4 linked regions of the Mus musculus genome follow. The protein of the gene in region 1 binds, or shares a complex with, the protein of each later gene. Links are inferred from orthologs where the notes say so. Each region holds a gene or a part of one and is shown on either strand. Other genes may lie near its edges. The genes, in order: Apool, Chchd6, Micos13 and Chchd3.

Region 1 (4,118 bases):
GGTTTGTGCTGACCTTCTGGATGGACAGCTCTCATGATTGCTGTTGGTGCTCCTGGGCACAACTGATAGTTTGCAGGAGCTGCTGTAGAAGCAACTCAGAGCCAGGACTTGGCATTAAAACTGCAAAATATTTAATCTTCAAACAGCTGGTGAAAGTACAATGGATACCAGGATATACAGAAGACAGCAGCTTAAGGTAATAAGCCTTTCGGAGGTCAATAAGCAAATTCTAAGATGCTGGGTTGGGGTGGTTTGAGAACTGACCTGGGATCAAAACCAGAAGTGACAACACTTCATCAAGGGTGGCCCAGAATCGGGAATCTGGAATAAACTTTAGCCCTAAAGTCAGTTTCCTTAGGAAATCTAAACAATTATTTGGAGAAATCGCCTAGACCATGCATCTCACCTTGCTAATAGCACTTGAGCAGCCACTGTCTCGAGTTGTATCCTCCGCCATGAGCACAATTGGAAATATATGCCAACCAGACGTACAGGGGGCTACCCCTTTCAGTTTTCCAATGATGATAGATAGGCAGTAGCCGTGTACACTATGGCTCTAATCAGAAAAAAGAGAGAGCCTACAACAGATAATTTGTCAAGCAGATAGACACCAGGCACCTTCAGATTCTCCTTTAACACATGCCATGGTCAGATAGAGTCTCTGACAGAAACAGTTCTCCAAACCAGGAGAGGTTGTGTGACAGTAAGGGAGACTTGTTGCTTCTGTACTAACAAATCAAACATTATCATTTAAGAAAAAAAAAACTTTACAAAAATTATTTTAAATCAAAAACATGAATGAAATAATTTCTGGTACCAGAAAACTATTAAAACCCATGGCTCACAATACTTTTCATTGTTTTGCCTGGTCCCTTACTCCCCCTTATTATGAGACTTGCTATAGAGCCTTATATAATAAATGGTCTTTTAAAGTTCATCAGATAGAAAATTTCCTCAGTTAGGCTAATGATACTCAGGAACTAGTATTTATCACTTGGTCAAGATCAAAAATTTAACAATAACTTTAAAATAAAAATTGGGAAATGAAATGACTAAGGTGACACCATCCTCTTCTGACTCCATTTTATGTTCGATTAAATAATTCTCAGCCCTTTATCTGATTCCCCCAGTGGTCACATATGCCTTGGCAACACATGTGAGACTTCCACAGCTTTGACCATTGGCCAGATGTATTAGCCAAAATAATTGGCAAGTTATATCTAAAGTAACTACTATGTTCTACCAGGGATAAATGTTTCATGGCTACTCTGACCTTCATCTAACTTTGATGCATCTTTCTGGGTTTTGATTTCAAAACTGTGTATTTCTGAACTTGGGGACCAAGAAACTTTTCAGAACCACAGCCCTGCTCGTGATTTGGCCACCAAGAAAGGACTTAAAAGTTTTAATTAATTAATCAAAAACTTTCTCATGTGGATCAGTACAGTTGTCAAGGACACACACTTAGAAGAGCCATTCTGTGTTTACCAAAAGAAGCAAGCATCTCCTACCAATGGCCTACACACCACACCCTACCCAATACAAAATTGTAAACTATTTAAACATTGTAAAAATATTATTTGGGGCTTTTTTTTTTTTTTTTTTTTTGGTAACTTGATTGTGATTCTCCAGGATAAACTTTGTAGAGGTCAGGTGGGGTTGCATTATCAAAAGGTTGGTCAGACGTGCATGCTAGAAATTAAATAAGAATGGGCAAGGGCACTTTAGGAATTGCAGAAAGAGCAGGTAAATGGGGCATGAAGAGATAAAGTAGGAAGTTAAGTACACAGGAGAGGGTTCTTGGGTGACAGGAGAGGAAGCTGGAGTGCAGAGGCTAGGTGAAGTGTTGTTATCTAGAAGGGTAACCTGACCCCTGAGAGCTGATAATGGAGTGCCTATAAAGGCTTTAAAGTAGCAGGGCAGAGTCTCATTTTGATATAAGTACTATGGCAGCACAGGAGAAAATGGATTCCATCAGAGCAATGGAGTGGGTAGAGTCCAGTTAAGAGAATGGTCCGTAGTTTGAAAGAAAGTATGAGGTCCCAAACTAGAGAAATGCAGTGAAGAATGGGAAATATTAAAAGTCAATGTCCTCTGATTGAATTAATAACAATCTTATAGCCTTCAAGCCTAACAGAGTCATTACATACCTTTAAAAAAAAATACATGCGTTAAGTATTTGTAAACTGATGTTGAAACCCGAGTCGGCTGACTTGTTTCCTTTACCCCCGATTTCTACACAAAAGCACCTTTTCTCATAAAACTCCAAAGAAACTGGTTATTCGACGGGGAATAACACTATGTATAATCCCACTCACAACACAGATTCTGAGAAATCTCTACTTTTGTCTGTTTTGCCCACAGCTAATTTTTGAAGGAAGTCTTATGTCCCGGTCTGGGAGCCCCGCCCTGCACACCAAGACAGCGCCAAACTTTTGTTTTGTTTTGTTTCCTTTTGTTTTGTTTTCCTTCTCCAGAGAGGCGAGTGGCCAGGCCTTCCTCATCACTCACTCAGCGGGTTGCGGGACTAAAGCCCCGCGGTGTAAACAGTTACCCGCAGGGATTAAGGAGAAGGCGAGGGAGGTTTGTTGAGACTGCAAAGATTAAAGACTCCGATCCTCATAGTCTCATCTCCAGGTCGCCACTTGCTGAGGGGCTCCCTCCATGAGTTACGATAGACGGTCCCTTCTATAATTATTGTAATGCTTGGGCTCAGAGCGAGCGGGGAGTGGAAAACTAAGTTTCTTTTCACTTACCCTAAAGGCCGCCATACCTATGACCCTCTCGGCTCAAGTTTTCAGACGGAGAGCGCAGAGGGACAAAGCAGTTCACTTTGCCTTGCGTCACCATAGCCCCGCCCCTTTACGCTAGGAGCCCGCTGGCCCTGCCCTTTCCCCGCCCTCCTGCCATTGCTTTTGTAGGCGCCAAAGTCAATTGGTTAGCACTTCTTCAGAGCAAAGGGCCTATCTTTGCGGTTGACATTCCAGTCCTCATACATCTAACCTCTAAGAATAGTCTCCACACTCCAATTAGAAATTGTTTTCTTGGGTGAATGACTGGGTGTTTACGGGATTTGTCTAGATAAGAACTTAAAACTCAACTGCCTTAATAAACAACCATATAGTCTGTCACAAGAGCAGGTCACCACTGCAATCCTTGAGGCAATTCAATTACATTCATTCTAGAACTGTCACTAAACACCAATTCTGTCAGGAAGTTGCTCACAGTACACTACAAAACCTACATACAGCACCAAGAGAAAATGACAAAAAAATTTTAGAAAGGCCTCAACACTATTCAAGAAAACAGAACCTTGACAAGACGGTTCAGCTTGTAAGAAGTACTTACTGGCTGACAAGCCGGATGGCCTAAATTTCACACACACACACACACACACACACACACACACACACACACAGAGAGAGAGAGAGAGAGAGAGAGAGAGAGAGAGAGAGTAAATAAAATGTATTAAAAGTGTAAAAGTAGAAGCTATCTGTTGAGAAGGAATGGAGTTTTCTAGTTCATACAGATAGAAGGCGCTGATAGGGTGATTTGAAGAAAGTCATGAGGAATATAGGCAAGTGGTCTATGCAAAAGTAATATCAGGAACAGAGAGTGGTAGGTCCCAACAATGAAAAAACAAACATACCACAACAGGGGCTCTCTGTGTCACTATAACTAGTGTGGATTGTTTGCTTTTGTTTTGTTTTATCCTTTTTTTTTTTAGTTGCCTGTTTGTATTCCAAAGATGAAGGCATGGAGTCGGGGTCAGAGGTGGCAGAATCTGGGAGGACATGAGGGAGGGAAAACTGTGATCAGAATATATTATATGGAAATTCCTAATTAAAAAAGAATAAAAAGAAATGTAATTGGAAGGCTTTTAGCATTGGTGTGACTTGATCTAAAATACATTATAAAATGATGATTATGATGTTCCCAGGAGACTAGATTGTGAGGAGGTATATTATTCTCTGTAAGGGTACAGGCTCCCTGAGGCCTCTGTGAATAATTCGGAGACAAAGAGTGTCCATTTATGTTCCCATTAACTTCACAGTATTAGGTAACTGCATTCACTTATTCATTTAATAAATATTTAAGTGTAAACTATATACTAAGCA
Region 2 (3,564 bases), on another chromosome or scaffold:
GCCCACAAGAGCAGGGTGGCTTCCTTCTCCTGGGCAGTGCAGACCACAGTGCTCTCTGGCATGGCCCTACCTCAGTCTGCCCCTCCTGTGAGAGAATGACATGGCTCCAGGTGCCTGAACAGCACTGCCTCTGCTCAAGGCCTGGCTTTCCCAGCCCAGATGCCCCTTTCCCAACTTCCCTTTCTTCTCACGCCCACTGCCCCCTTAGCTACAGAGCACCTTGCTCCTCCTTACCTGGGGCCCACTCCTCATGGCTCTGCTCTGTCCTGCAATTACCCACCAGTCTTCCTAAGAGTAAACAGAAGGTCCTTCTGGATGCTGGCACCATCCCCCCAAAACACCACTTCTCTTCTTTCCTCTCATACTTGATCCACGGTGGCTTTTGTGTGGCCATGTAGTTATGGGTTTCCATGCTATCCCCTGCCAGGCCTAGTATTCCCCCAGAGAAGCAGTCTGTCCTGTGAGGCTCTGTGTCACTGGTGACCAACAGACGGCTGGACAAAGAGTCAACAGAAGTGACTGGGTGCCAATGAGTGAATGACTGCAAACAAAGACATCTGCTTTATTTGTTTTCAATCAGTAGCACATACTGTTTCTCGAGCATGGCAGCCCCACACTCAGAGGCATATGGGTGCTCAGTTAGAGACTGCAGGGCCTGGGGGCCATGGTCTGTGGTCCTATGATCGGTCCCTTCTTCAAGGCTCCAGGAAGGATGCTGCTCCTCAGCCCTTCAAAGAGAACAGCCAGAGTTCAGCTGAGCCCTCTTCATCCCCAGAGATGGCCCAGGCCCGGGCTGTAAGAGACCTCAGCCTCATGATTTCCAGGCTCCTGCAGACTGCACTGGATAGTGGCCATTTCCCTGCAGTATAACTGGCTATGAGTCAGTTAGCTGGCCTGAGACCTAGACTGGGTCTCTCCCCACTGTTGAGCAGGACATAGGCTCTTACTTAACACGTTCTGCAGCAATAATAGCCAGCACCACCTCTTTATCCCCAGGGGCCCAGCTCCCTTCTCTGCTCTTACAGTGGTATGGCTAACCCCCACCCTGGCCTAGTGCAGCCTTGCCCACTTCTGCTCTACCTAAGTAAGGTCCTCCCTGTTCTCTAGCTTAACAAGTAGGGATTTTCCAAGAGATGCACTGGGAGAATGCAACTATGCAATCAGGTTCCTGCTCTAGGGAGCTCTGCATACCTCCAGGCAGGTTTATAGCTCTATACCTAGAGGAAAGCCCTCAGGTGTCCTGAGCTGGACAGGAATGCTTCTGCCATCTAACTGCTTTTGGAAGCACATCTTTCCTGAGGATTCTTCATTCCTATCTCACTTCTGCCAGGGACCATGTTCTGTGCAGCTGGCAGAGGGCACCAAGTTTTTCCAGTAGGACATCTTGGTCACAGGGTGCCCTGTGAGTCTGGGTGCTGAGGCCCACACTGTGCCAGACTGCATGCATGGTTTAGAGGTGGCTTGAGGGCCCAGCTGGCCTCTGATGTTTCCAGGAGCTTTAGGTGTGGGGCCAGGAAGGAGAGCCTGAAAAGTCACAAGCCTCTTTTAGGCATGTGTAGTGACAGAGACACACTGGAACTTCCTGCAGTCTGTCCAATATCATCAGTACACCTTTTCCAGGTTTTTACTCAGTGCAATGAAGGTACACTGGTGGGATACACTAAGGGGGCACAGGGACTGAAAATGGCCACCGACACAGGGTGGATGGAACAAGGCTTAAAGCTGTTTCTGTCAAGGAAGGCTAGGGGTATAACTGGATAGTCCTTTTCTCAGCCCCTCTGCTGAAAGGTGAGAAGTTTGCTACTTGTTCCAGGAAGGTGGACAGATTACATAAGCCTAGCCAGGAAGAGGAGCACAGGAGATACTACTCCCACGGACATGTTTGGGGTCCCAAAAGTGGTGAGAAATGGTTCTGAGCAAGGTTGAGGATGGGACGTCTAAATGCAGGGGCCCAGGCATACACACTAAGGCAGGTGGCCTCACCTTGCGGGCAGTGCTCACACAGTGCTGGTATGCCTTGACCAGGTCCGAGCACAGAAGCACTTCATGCAGATGGTCCCGGTAACAGCGGAGGATCTGGGCTTGTAGGCCAGAGCACACAGGCTCCACTCTGCGGGGCCTGGGGGACGATAAGAACAGATGGCTGGTATTAGAAGGCATGAGAGGCAAGAACTCACACTCAACACCCAGAAAGACACTAGATAAGCTCTGGATGTCTATCCATGTGCCAGCTCACTCCACAAGTGAGGAGTGCAGGGTCTGGTCTTCTGGCCAGTGGCCAATACTGAATGGGCTGGGGTATAGGGCTGTATGCTGACTGGCTGCTGCCATGAGTCCCCAGTGTCACCAGGAAGGGTGAGGGGCCTGGTGGCAGCTGGGTCAGGCTCTGTCCAAGGGGTTTTCAGTGCATTGTTGACCTGGTACCACAGCCATGTGAGACAGGAATGCCACTTCCTCCCAAATCCTTGTTCTAATTTTACTACTGTGACACAGAAAAACCTACAGAGATATCCAAAAAAACAAAAATACACATCTTAGAGATAGTTTGTAGTGATGTGTTGAGGCATTTTACTATATTTTCTTTCTTCTTTTATCAAAAGAGTTTCAGAATGTACAACAAATGAATATGCTGACTTTCTACTATTATGATGCAAAACAAGTGATAAAAAAGTAAACAACAGATTACACAGTTACAGGTGTCCCTCCCAGATCCCTGGGGCCACCTTTGACAGGACCACTACCAGATGCCTTTTTGTTCCACGTAAGCTCTCTTCCCCTGCCTCCCCCACTGTCACATATCCAGTGCTCCCACAACTCACACACACATAGCTACACATACTTTCACGCACCTTACGCACACTCCCACACCCCCTCACACACCCATTCTCCTATGATCCCAGAGTCCCCCCACTTGCATGCACTCACTCACACCCCTCCCACATCTACACACTCCCCGCACCCATTCTTTTACACTCAACCTTTAACACCTTTACTCAGGGTCCTCTGCACACTTACTCTCCTGCACCCCACCCCAGTAGCTCACACAGCAGCACACTGGCGAAAACATCCCCCTATTACCTCTCCCCACTCTGTGGGTGCATGGTATTTATTCTTCCCTACCTCCTTCTCCCCATGAGAAAACTGTGGTATGGAGAAGTTACACCACAGAGCCAGTGTATGGGGAGGGCATATTTATTGACATTGTGGTGGTGCCATCTACCCATCAGCTTTCCAGATGGGTTTTCGCCAAAGCTCCCCCATGTTTGTAACAGCTGTGGTGAACTTGTAGTGACACCTGACAGTTATAAAGCTGCAGTGAGCCATTCCTCACATTCTTTGGCAATAAAAAGGATGGGTATTCTGCAAGCTGTGTTCCAGGCCAGCTTGCTGTTCTCCTGCCCAGCACCTCTGAATTGAGAGTGTCAGCCATGCAGCAGACACCAGAGGGGAGAGTGCTGTTATCAAGATAATTCAACCAAGTGAAAGTCATCAGTTAAGGAGAACCAGCAGCAAAGTAATGAGGGGCTTAGGATGTAAGTCTGCAATGCCTTATGCCCAGCCCAG
Region 3 (4,252 bases), on another chromosome or scaffold:
CTTCAGGGGGCAAGGCTGGGAGTCCTGAGTGGCTGTGACTAGTTTGGGCAATGGGGCTGTCAAAAAGAACTGGTCCACTGCAAGTGAAGCCCCTATTAAGGGCCCCAAGTCCAGGCTCCCCGCACCACAGTACCTACTCCATTGTACAGGCTGGAAGAATGGTTCCATGGCTAGTTCAGATCCTAGCACCCATGATGGAGAGCTCACAACAGACAGTGCCAGTGTGTATATACAAGCACACCCACACAAGCACTAAGTTAAGAAAATGCCTCCGTCAGATTGGACTGTGGGACACTTTCTTGATTGATGACTATGGGTAGGTGGTCCTGGGTGTTATTAGAAAGCAGGCTGAGCAAACCATGGAGAACAAGCCTATAAACTAATTTTCCATGGCCTCTACTTCAGTCCTGCCTCCAGATTCCTGCCCTAACTTCCCTTAGTGATGGAGAATGACCTGAGAGTAACAAGCTGAAATAAACCCTTTCCTATCCAAGCTACTTCTGGTCATGGTTTTTATCACACAAAATTTTTAAAAGTTAAAACAAAAAACTAAAACTAAAATCTTTCTGGGCTCCAAACATTACATCTGGAACATAGAGATCCCTGTTAGCCAGGACTCTGCCCATAAAGCAAAGGCTCTACATCCCCCCCCCACCAGAAAACCGGCTGGGGACCATTCCCAAGTCCTTTATTGGGCCAGCAATGCTGGAAGCTGCCCTCAGAGTGAGGTCCCCACTGGGATGTCTCTGCCATCCTGGTCTTGACCCCCATAATGCTGGGGCAGGTGGCATCCATTACTTGCTGTGTTCCTTGAGGTACTCCCAGCCCTCCTTGGAGTATTCTCGGGCCTTGGAGGGGGCCACCGACAAGGCTGACATGACTGAGATGATGCCTGCAGAGACAGCACACAGGTGCCATAAGGTCCCCACCTTGCCAGAGCCACTCAGCCAGCCAACCCCTGGGGAGTGCAAGAGCAGTACATGGAGGAGGAATGGGACTAGCCTTTCCTGATGGACAAGTTCCAGTGTGGATCTAAACCACAACCCCTTCCCTATGCTCTGTTTTAAAAGGTTTCATCTCACTAATATATTCCAAGGTTATCCTCAAACTCTCAGTCCTTCTGCCTCAGCTCTTCCCAGTGCTGAGATTATAGGTGTGTATAACAATATCCAGCTTTTCTTTGTGGAGACAAGGTCTCATATATCCCATATGGCCTGGAATTCCCTATGTAGTCAAAGATGACCCTGAAATCCTTCATTCTCTTGCCTGCACTGAGTGCTGAGATGACAGACCTACAAACACCATGCCTGATTTATGGGGTGCTGACGACAGGACCCAGAGCTTTATGCATGCTAGGAAAGATCTTTACCACTGATCTACAACCCCAACCCCTTAGGGTTTTTTTAAGTATTTTGTTTTTCCTATTTTTGAGAAAGGATGTCCCTGTGTAGTCCTGGCTATAGATCAAGCTGGCCTTGAAACTACAATTTTCCTGCCTCGGCCTCCCAAATACTAAAGTCACAATCATGGGCCACCATACCCAGTCCTTTCTACTTAGTTCCATAGGTGATATACAGGCACACAAACAGGAAAACATGGAGGAGTAGAAAGGGTCAATGAGGTAAACAGGGCTGGGAGAGAGGCTGGGGTGCCCAGGCATCCCCCCAAGCAGGGGCATAGGGGCCTACCTGAGTTCCAGGAATCACGGAAGTTTGGAAATTTAATCTTTGGAGGGGTTGGGAGCTGGGAAGAAAGAGGAACACGGGCTGACACGGGAAACAGGTCACAGCCTTGTCTCCCAAACCCAGAAACACAAAACTCCACCAAGCAGGGGTGGAGGAGGCCCCAAGGACACCCAGAAGCAACCTGTAGGCCACCCACTCCCAGCCAAGGTACCTGTGGCATCTCCAGACCTGTCTGCTGGCACACATATTGGCTGAACTGGTACATTGCTGGTGGCACAACCTCCTCGGCCTTCCGCAGGGCAGCCTCACTCTTGTCACTAGGCCCCAGCAGCTCCTGGTCATAAACAAGGTAGACTGCTCCTCCAGCCACACTTCCCTTAATGAGGAACCTTCAGGAATACATGAAGGGAGACGCTGTGGGGGGCAGGATCTCAGAGATCAGACAGTTGATCATTTTTTGTTGTTGTTGTTTTGTTTTTCGAGACAGGGTTTCTGTGTAGCCCTGGCTGTCCTGGAACTCACTCTGTAGACCTGGCTGGCCTCGAACTCAGAAATCCGACTGCCTCTGCCTCCTAAGTGCTGGGATTAAAGGCGTGTGCCACCACTCCCGGCCAGTTGATCATTTCATTTGCCTTTGTGACACGACTTTTAGCAGTAAACGGAGTCTTAAAGAGAGACAGGGTGGGTCATTCGAAACCCTGCAAAGGATAATGGACACTCAAGATCCCTGGTACAAAACCTTCCAGGGTGTCTGGCGGAGCTTCCCCGCAAGTTACTCAAGTCAGCTACGGAGGGAGATGGGCAGGATTGCCTACGCATCTGAATTGCACCTAAGAGTAAATTGAAGCAGTAGGGTGATAAGGGCTGGCTGAAGCCAGTTTCCCTACACAGACCGTGAGAAAGGTCCGTAACAACCGGAAGTGAGCCGTCGCAGGACCCTAAGCCACGAGGCAGAGATGCCTACAGCCCCGAACTTTCTCAGGGCCTCCACGATTGTCCACGCACCTCATTAGCGACCACACTCGAGCCACCATGGTTAGTCTCTCGCTTCACTCGCCGCGCAAGGACAAGTAATTCGCCCGCCGCTTCCGGTTGGTGTCGCTGCTGAGACTCCTGGGAAATGTAGTGGTCGCTGTCAGCCGCAATGGAGTTAGACTCTTGTAGGTCGAGGTCCGTGGCTGCCGCAATTCTTTCTGGGAAATGTATTAGTTAGGCGGAAGACCAAAGAAGGGCTAGGCCGCGAAGGCTCCTGGGAAATGTAGTCTGGAGGCACGACAGAGACGAGCCCTCGGAAGACACTGGTCGGATTCCCCGCGCCCGCGCGGAGAATTGAGTGTCCCCCAGGTGAAGCAAGCCTAAGTGATGGTTACCACGGCAACGCGAGGGCTGGATTGTTCCAGAGAAGCAGGCCTTTGGTTCACGTGAGCGGTTAGGGGTGTGGCTCTAACCTAGGAAGCTTGGAGAGGCTACAGATGGCCTGTGAGATGGACGCTTGCCAAGGTTGTTGACTTGCCAAGGCCAAGGCGCTGGAGGATCCCTGCCGGGTAGAAGTCTTGGGGTCATGTGAGAACGGGTTGGCGGTGGGTGGTCCGGAGTACAAGGAGCCACACTGGGGTGCGAAGTGCCGCAGGAGGGGTTAGCGGCCAAGTGGACATCATGTAGATCCCTGTTCGGTTGCAAGGTGAGCTTGAGCAGATGTGCACCATGGATGCATGGATGCCTTGTAATTGTCTATGGAGACCTATTGTCCTAATTACTTCTCAGTTGTCCTGACAAAGCACCATGGCCAAGGCAACTCAATAGAAGGAAAAGTTTTCTGCTTCCAGTTTCAGAGGACCATGACCATCGTAACGCGGAGCATGACAGCAGGCAAACCGGGATGGCGCTGGAGCAGCAGCTGAGAGCTTACATTGTGGCTCATAAGCTGAAAGAGACTACAGGGTATTGTGTGGGCTTTTGAAACCTTAAAGTCCACACCACTGTCACCCCTGCCCCAAGAAAACTTATCTCCTAATCCTTGCCAAACAGTTCTACCAAATGGGGACCAAGCATTCAAATACATGAAACTGTAGGGGTCATTCCGATTCAACCATACACAAGACCCCCCCCACACACAACTTTATTTCTTTATTACTTATTTTTGTGTTGGGTTTGGTTTGGTTTGCCTTTGGTTGGTTATTGTTTGCTTGCTTGTTTTGAGGCAAGGTTTGTCTAACAGTCCTGGCTGTCCTGGAACTCACTTTGTGGCCCAGGCTGGCCTCGAACTCACAGCTCTGCCTGCATCTGCCTCTTAAGTGTTGGTATTAAAGTGTGTTCCACCATCACCCAGCTTTGTGGGTTTTTTTCTTTTTTAGACGGGGTCTTATTCTTTGTACGTGATTGGTCTGGAACTCATATGGACCAAAGCTGAATTCTCCTGCCTGGGCCTCCTCATTCCTGCTTTTACAGACATGTCCAGTGTCTATGGTGACATTTTCTCCTTTTCACCCAGAACTAAAATAAACCAACCCTCATGACTAAGAATGGGTGAGAGGAGCCTAGAACATGGCAAGGTAGCATGTGGCATT
Region 4 (3,564 bases), on another chromosome or scaffold:
AAAACAAAGGCGTACTTAATACTGGAATCATCACATCATGACCCAATTCACTAATAAGAGAAACCAAGGCTCAAGGCCAGAGACCTAAAAGATAGGGCTTGGTTCCAAACCCAGGCCTGCCAGATTCTCCCCTCTACAGTACCATGTGTCATATGTGACCTTGTTGCAATAATCGCTTTTCTTTTATTCCATAAACAGGACACCACAGCACTAAATGTGATTCAACATGACCTCACCAGGCAGAGTGGCCGGAGCCAATGCTCCAAGACCTTCAGTGTTGCCACTTCATCGACAGCAGAAAGCACACTGGAAATAAGACACTTTGTGTCAGACACCACTCCAGAAACACGCACGGTGACACAATCACCTTTCTATCAATGACGCAGTCCAACTCCACAAGTCTTTATTATCACATTAGAAAAATCCACGAGTCAGTCTACAAGTCCCAAGGGCTCAGGTGGTTGCTGTTGAAGGCTGCAGGCTTGCTAAGAGCTCATCAGAGGATTCTGTGACAAACAACACACACTACCCTAACATCAGTAGCTTTACCTCTAGCAAGACCTTTAAAGAACCCTGGCAGATACTCAGCTATACAAGTGTGGCTGCAAGCAAGGGATGAGGCGTGTCAAGAAAACACAGGTTTTTAATCTTGATTACATTTTTTCTACTTAATGTTACTGTTATTTCCAAGATACCCAGACAATAGTACCCTCCCTTCAGATATTTATGCAGTACTGGAGATTTACACTAAGTGGTATTATTATAACAGGAGCAAACTGGGCTGTGGAAAGGCATGCTGTATAACTCAACTGCTAGATTGAGATGGGCGAGGTCAACTCTAGGGAGTTCATCAGCAGAAAGAACTGAGTTTCCAACAACTTGTGTCTCTTCAAATCCCATGTACCCAACTGTAAAGTAATTGTGTGACCTGTTGAGACTGTTAATTTGTTGTTGGGATATCATTAGCTTTCTAAAGCACATAAATTAGAGAAAATATGCATCTTATGAGTGTCATATTATGCAGTCATAAAGGGTCAAGTGAAGCATGCAGAAGGAGGAAAGCCTTTCCTAAGTATGACTCAGGTTCTTTCTCCAGCTTAAATAATAGCCTCTACTAACTGGTGGAGGAATGGTTAGTGTACTGGCTAGTTTTGTGTCAACTTGACACAGCTGGGGTTATCACAGAGAAAGGAGCTTCAGTTGAGGAAATGCCTCCATGAGATCCAGCTGTAAGACATTTTCTCAATTAGTGATCAAGGGGGAAAGGCCCCTTGTGGGTGGGACCATCTCTGGGCTGGTAGTCTTGGGTTCTATAAGAGAGCAGGCTGAGCAAGCCAGGGGAGGCAAGCCAGTAAAGAACATCCCTCCATGGCCTCTGCATCGGCTCCTGCTTTCTGACCTGCTTGAGTTCCAGTCCTGACTTCCTTGTTGATGAACAGCAGTATGGAAGTGTAAGCCGAATAAACCCTTTCCTCCCCAACTTGCTTCTTGGTCATGATGTTTGTGCAGGAATAGAAACCCTGACTAAGACAGTAACAGATGAGTAGATTTCTCTTAATCCTGTGAGACCTCCTACTACTTACGAACTCCTAGTGTGCTTGCTTCTTAGTTTATAGCCTTCATCCATAGTTTGGACAGTGCTGTTTAGGGATGTGAGGTAATGACCATGAGGATAAGACCACTGGGACCATTAGAAAGTGAAAGGTTTAGAGCAATTAAGCATATTTTTAAATATATTTCTGCTCCTGCACATAAATCCAAGGAGAGTTCAGGAGAGCTTGAACCCAGGGCCTTGAGCATGTTAGGCAAGCACCCTACCACTGAGTTGCACATCCATTCCTACTTTTACTTTGAGACACGGTCTCATGACATTGTCCAGATTGTCCTTGAACTCGCTCTGTAGCTGCCCCTGAACTTGAAGTTGCCCTGCCCAGTCTTTTCAGCAGCTGGGATCACGGGCCTAAGCCACTAGGCCTACCTAGAATCTGGACTCTTCTGACAGTGAACTGGATAGAGCTTATGGCCAAAACATGATTTAAGAGATTCTAGATGAGTTGAGAAAGTTTCCCACCCACTGGGATGACTGGGCTTTCTACTTTTCAGGTGCCCCAGTCAGCTTGCACACCCACCTGTTTGGCATGGTTGACACAGTGCATGTATTGGCTAGCCAGAGCAGAGCAGCTGAGAGTCTGCTGGGTGTTCTGACGGTAACACTGGAGGATTTTGGTCTGCAGATCTGCACAGACTGGATGATATTCATACCGCCTGGAAACAAAAAATGAGGATAATTGAGACAAGGCATCCCCATTAATGGTCAAGGTTAAAAGTTATGTAAAACATAAGCCGAGGTCCTACAAATAACACCAGTGCTCTTTTTCTACAGCCTGGTCTGGCAAGTCAGAAATCTGCCAGTCCCAACTTCTTCTGGCATACCCATGGCCAGCAGGCCATGAAGATCTGGTCCTTGCAGTCTAATCTTCCATACTCACCATTATTACAAAAATTCAAAATACTTCCTAGATCCAAGCAATGACCTCTGGTCTGTGTGTCTATAGTCCCAGCCCTCTCCCTGCATCTACAGGTCATCTAGAGAGTTCCTTGTAAATCCATCGATTCAAGTCAGACTCTCTATATTGCTATAAAGTACAAGGGTAGCAGAGATATGATCAGGCTCCTGCCTGCCTTTAGCCCTTGTTGGACCCTGAATATTGCTGCAGCCTGAGTAAATCATACTTAGGGGCCAGTTACGGATCTCACATCTGTGGTCACAAGCTAGAAAATACTTGGCACCCAAATTCCCACCCTTCCCATGTAACTGAAAATCACTACACATCTTTCAAAGCGTAGCTCATATAACCTTCTTTGAACAACTCTCCCTGGTTTTCTCCTCCTTTAAGGTGACCCTGTGCTAGCATTTTGCGCTGCCCATGTCATGGACTATGCAATAATCTAGTGCAATTCACCTGCCTACATTTATTAGAATGTAAATTCCAAGGAATTATGTCTTGTTTTGTGACCTTTACTATTCACCGTGGATAATTTTTATAGAAGTCATACAATAAGCTTCTTGAATGGGGGAAAAAAAAGGGCAAACATCTAAAAATCTTCCAGGTTAAACTTCTGCAGTTGTATTTACAACGCTCAGATTTTAGTAGAATTTCTCTCCATGAGAATGGCATGCCAAACATAAATGTTTCCACACAATTTATAATACACATTTGAAAATAATAAGTCAAATAAATTACACACAGAAAATATTCTTGTTTGTATGGCAGCAGAACTCAAGGTACAAAGACTAACCACAGAGAGAGGAAATATGCAAAACAATCATTAATATATGAATTTGTATATTTAAAAAAATTAGTTTGTTTAATAAAAAAATGCTTCCAATCTTATCAGTTCTGTCTCTGAAATTTAAATTTGGTATTTCCATATAGTCCTGAGGTAGCATTATTTTAAGTTTAATGGGTTCTAAAAACAAAAGCCTCAGAGAACATGGGGGAATATTTCCCATCAATAAGCAGACCCTTGGGTGACAGTTTGTCTCCTCATTACTTAACCCAA

What was found.
Region 2: Apool (region 1) and Chchd6 share a complex: the UniProt entries of both Homo sapiens proteins name them as parts of the mitochondrial contact site and cristae organizing system (MICOS) complex. The link is inferred for Mus musculus from reciprocal best matches to the Homo sapiens genes APOOL and CHCHD6.
Region 3: Apool (region 1) and Micos13 share a complex: the UniProt entries of both Homo sapiens proteins name them as parts of the mitochondrial contact site and cristae organizing system (MICOS) complex. The link is inferred for Mus musculus from reciprocal best matches to the Homo sapiens genes APOOL and MICOS13.
Region 4: Apool (region 1) and Chchd3 share a complex: the UniProt entries of both Homo sapiens proteins name them as parts of the mitochondrial contact site and cristae organizing system (MICOS) complex. The link is inferred for Mus musculus from reciprocal best matches to the Homo sapiens genes APOOL and CHCHD3.

What each region holds. Positions count from the first base shown.
Region 1 is NC_000086.7:112,310,075-112,314,192, reverse strand, and holds the start of Apool (MICOS complex subunit Mic27 isoform 1 precursor), read right to left. Parts: upstream 2,842-4,118; 5' UTR 2,772-2,841; coding exon 2,757-2,771; intron 1-2,756. UniProt on the Homo sapiens protein: Component of the MICOS complex, a large protein complex of the mitochondrial inner membrane that plays crucial roles in the maintenance of crista junctions, inner membrane architecture, and formation of contact sites to the outer membrane.
Region 2 is NC_000072.6:89,382,621-89,386,184, forward strand, and holds the end of Chchd6 (MICOS complex subunit Mic25), read right to left. Parts: intron 2,120-3,564; coding exon 1,984-2,119; intron 729-1,983; coding exon 723-728; 3' UTR 526-722; downstream 1-525. UniProt on the Homo sapiens protein: Component of the MICOS complex, a large protein complex of the mitochondrial inner membrane that plays crucial roles in the maintenance of crista junctions, inner membrane architecture, and formation of contact sites to the outer membrane.
Region 3 is NC_000083.6:56,606,950-56,611,201, forward strand, and holds Micos13 (MICOS complex subunit MIC13 precursor), read right to left. Parts: upstream 2,823-4,252; 5' UTR 2,720-2,822; coding exon 2,691-2,719; intron 2,075-2,690; coding exon 1,897-2,074; intron 1,744-1,896; coding exon 1,689-1,743; intron 893-1,688; coding exon 795-892; 3' UTR 503-794; downstream 1-502. UniProt on the Homo sapiens protein: Component of the MICOS complex, a large protein complex of the mitochondrial inner membrane that plays crucial roles in the maintenance of crista junctions, inner membrane architecture, and formation of contact sites to the outer membrane.
Region 4 is NC_000072.6:32,801,761-32,805,324, forward strand, and holds part of Chchd3 (MICOS complex subunit Mic19), read right to left. Parts: intron 2,266-3,564; coding exon 2,130-2,265; intron 1-2,129. UniProt on the Homo sapiens protein: Component of the MICOS complex, a large protein complex of the mitochondrial inner membrane that plays crucial roles in the maintenance of crista junctions, inner membrane architecture, and formation of contact sites to the outer membrane.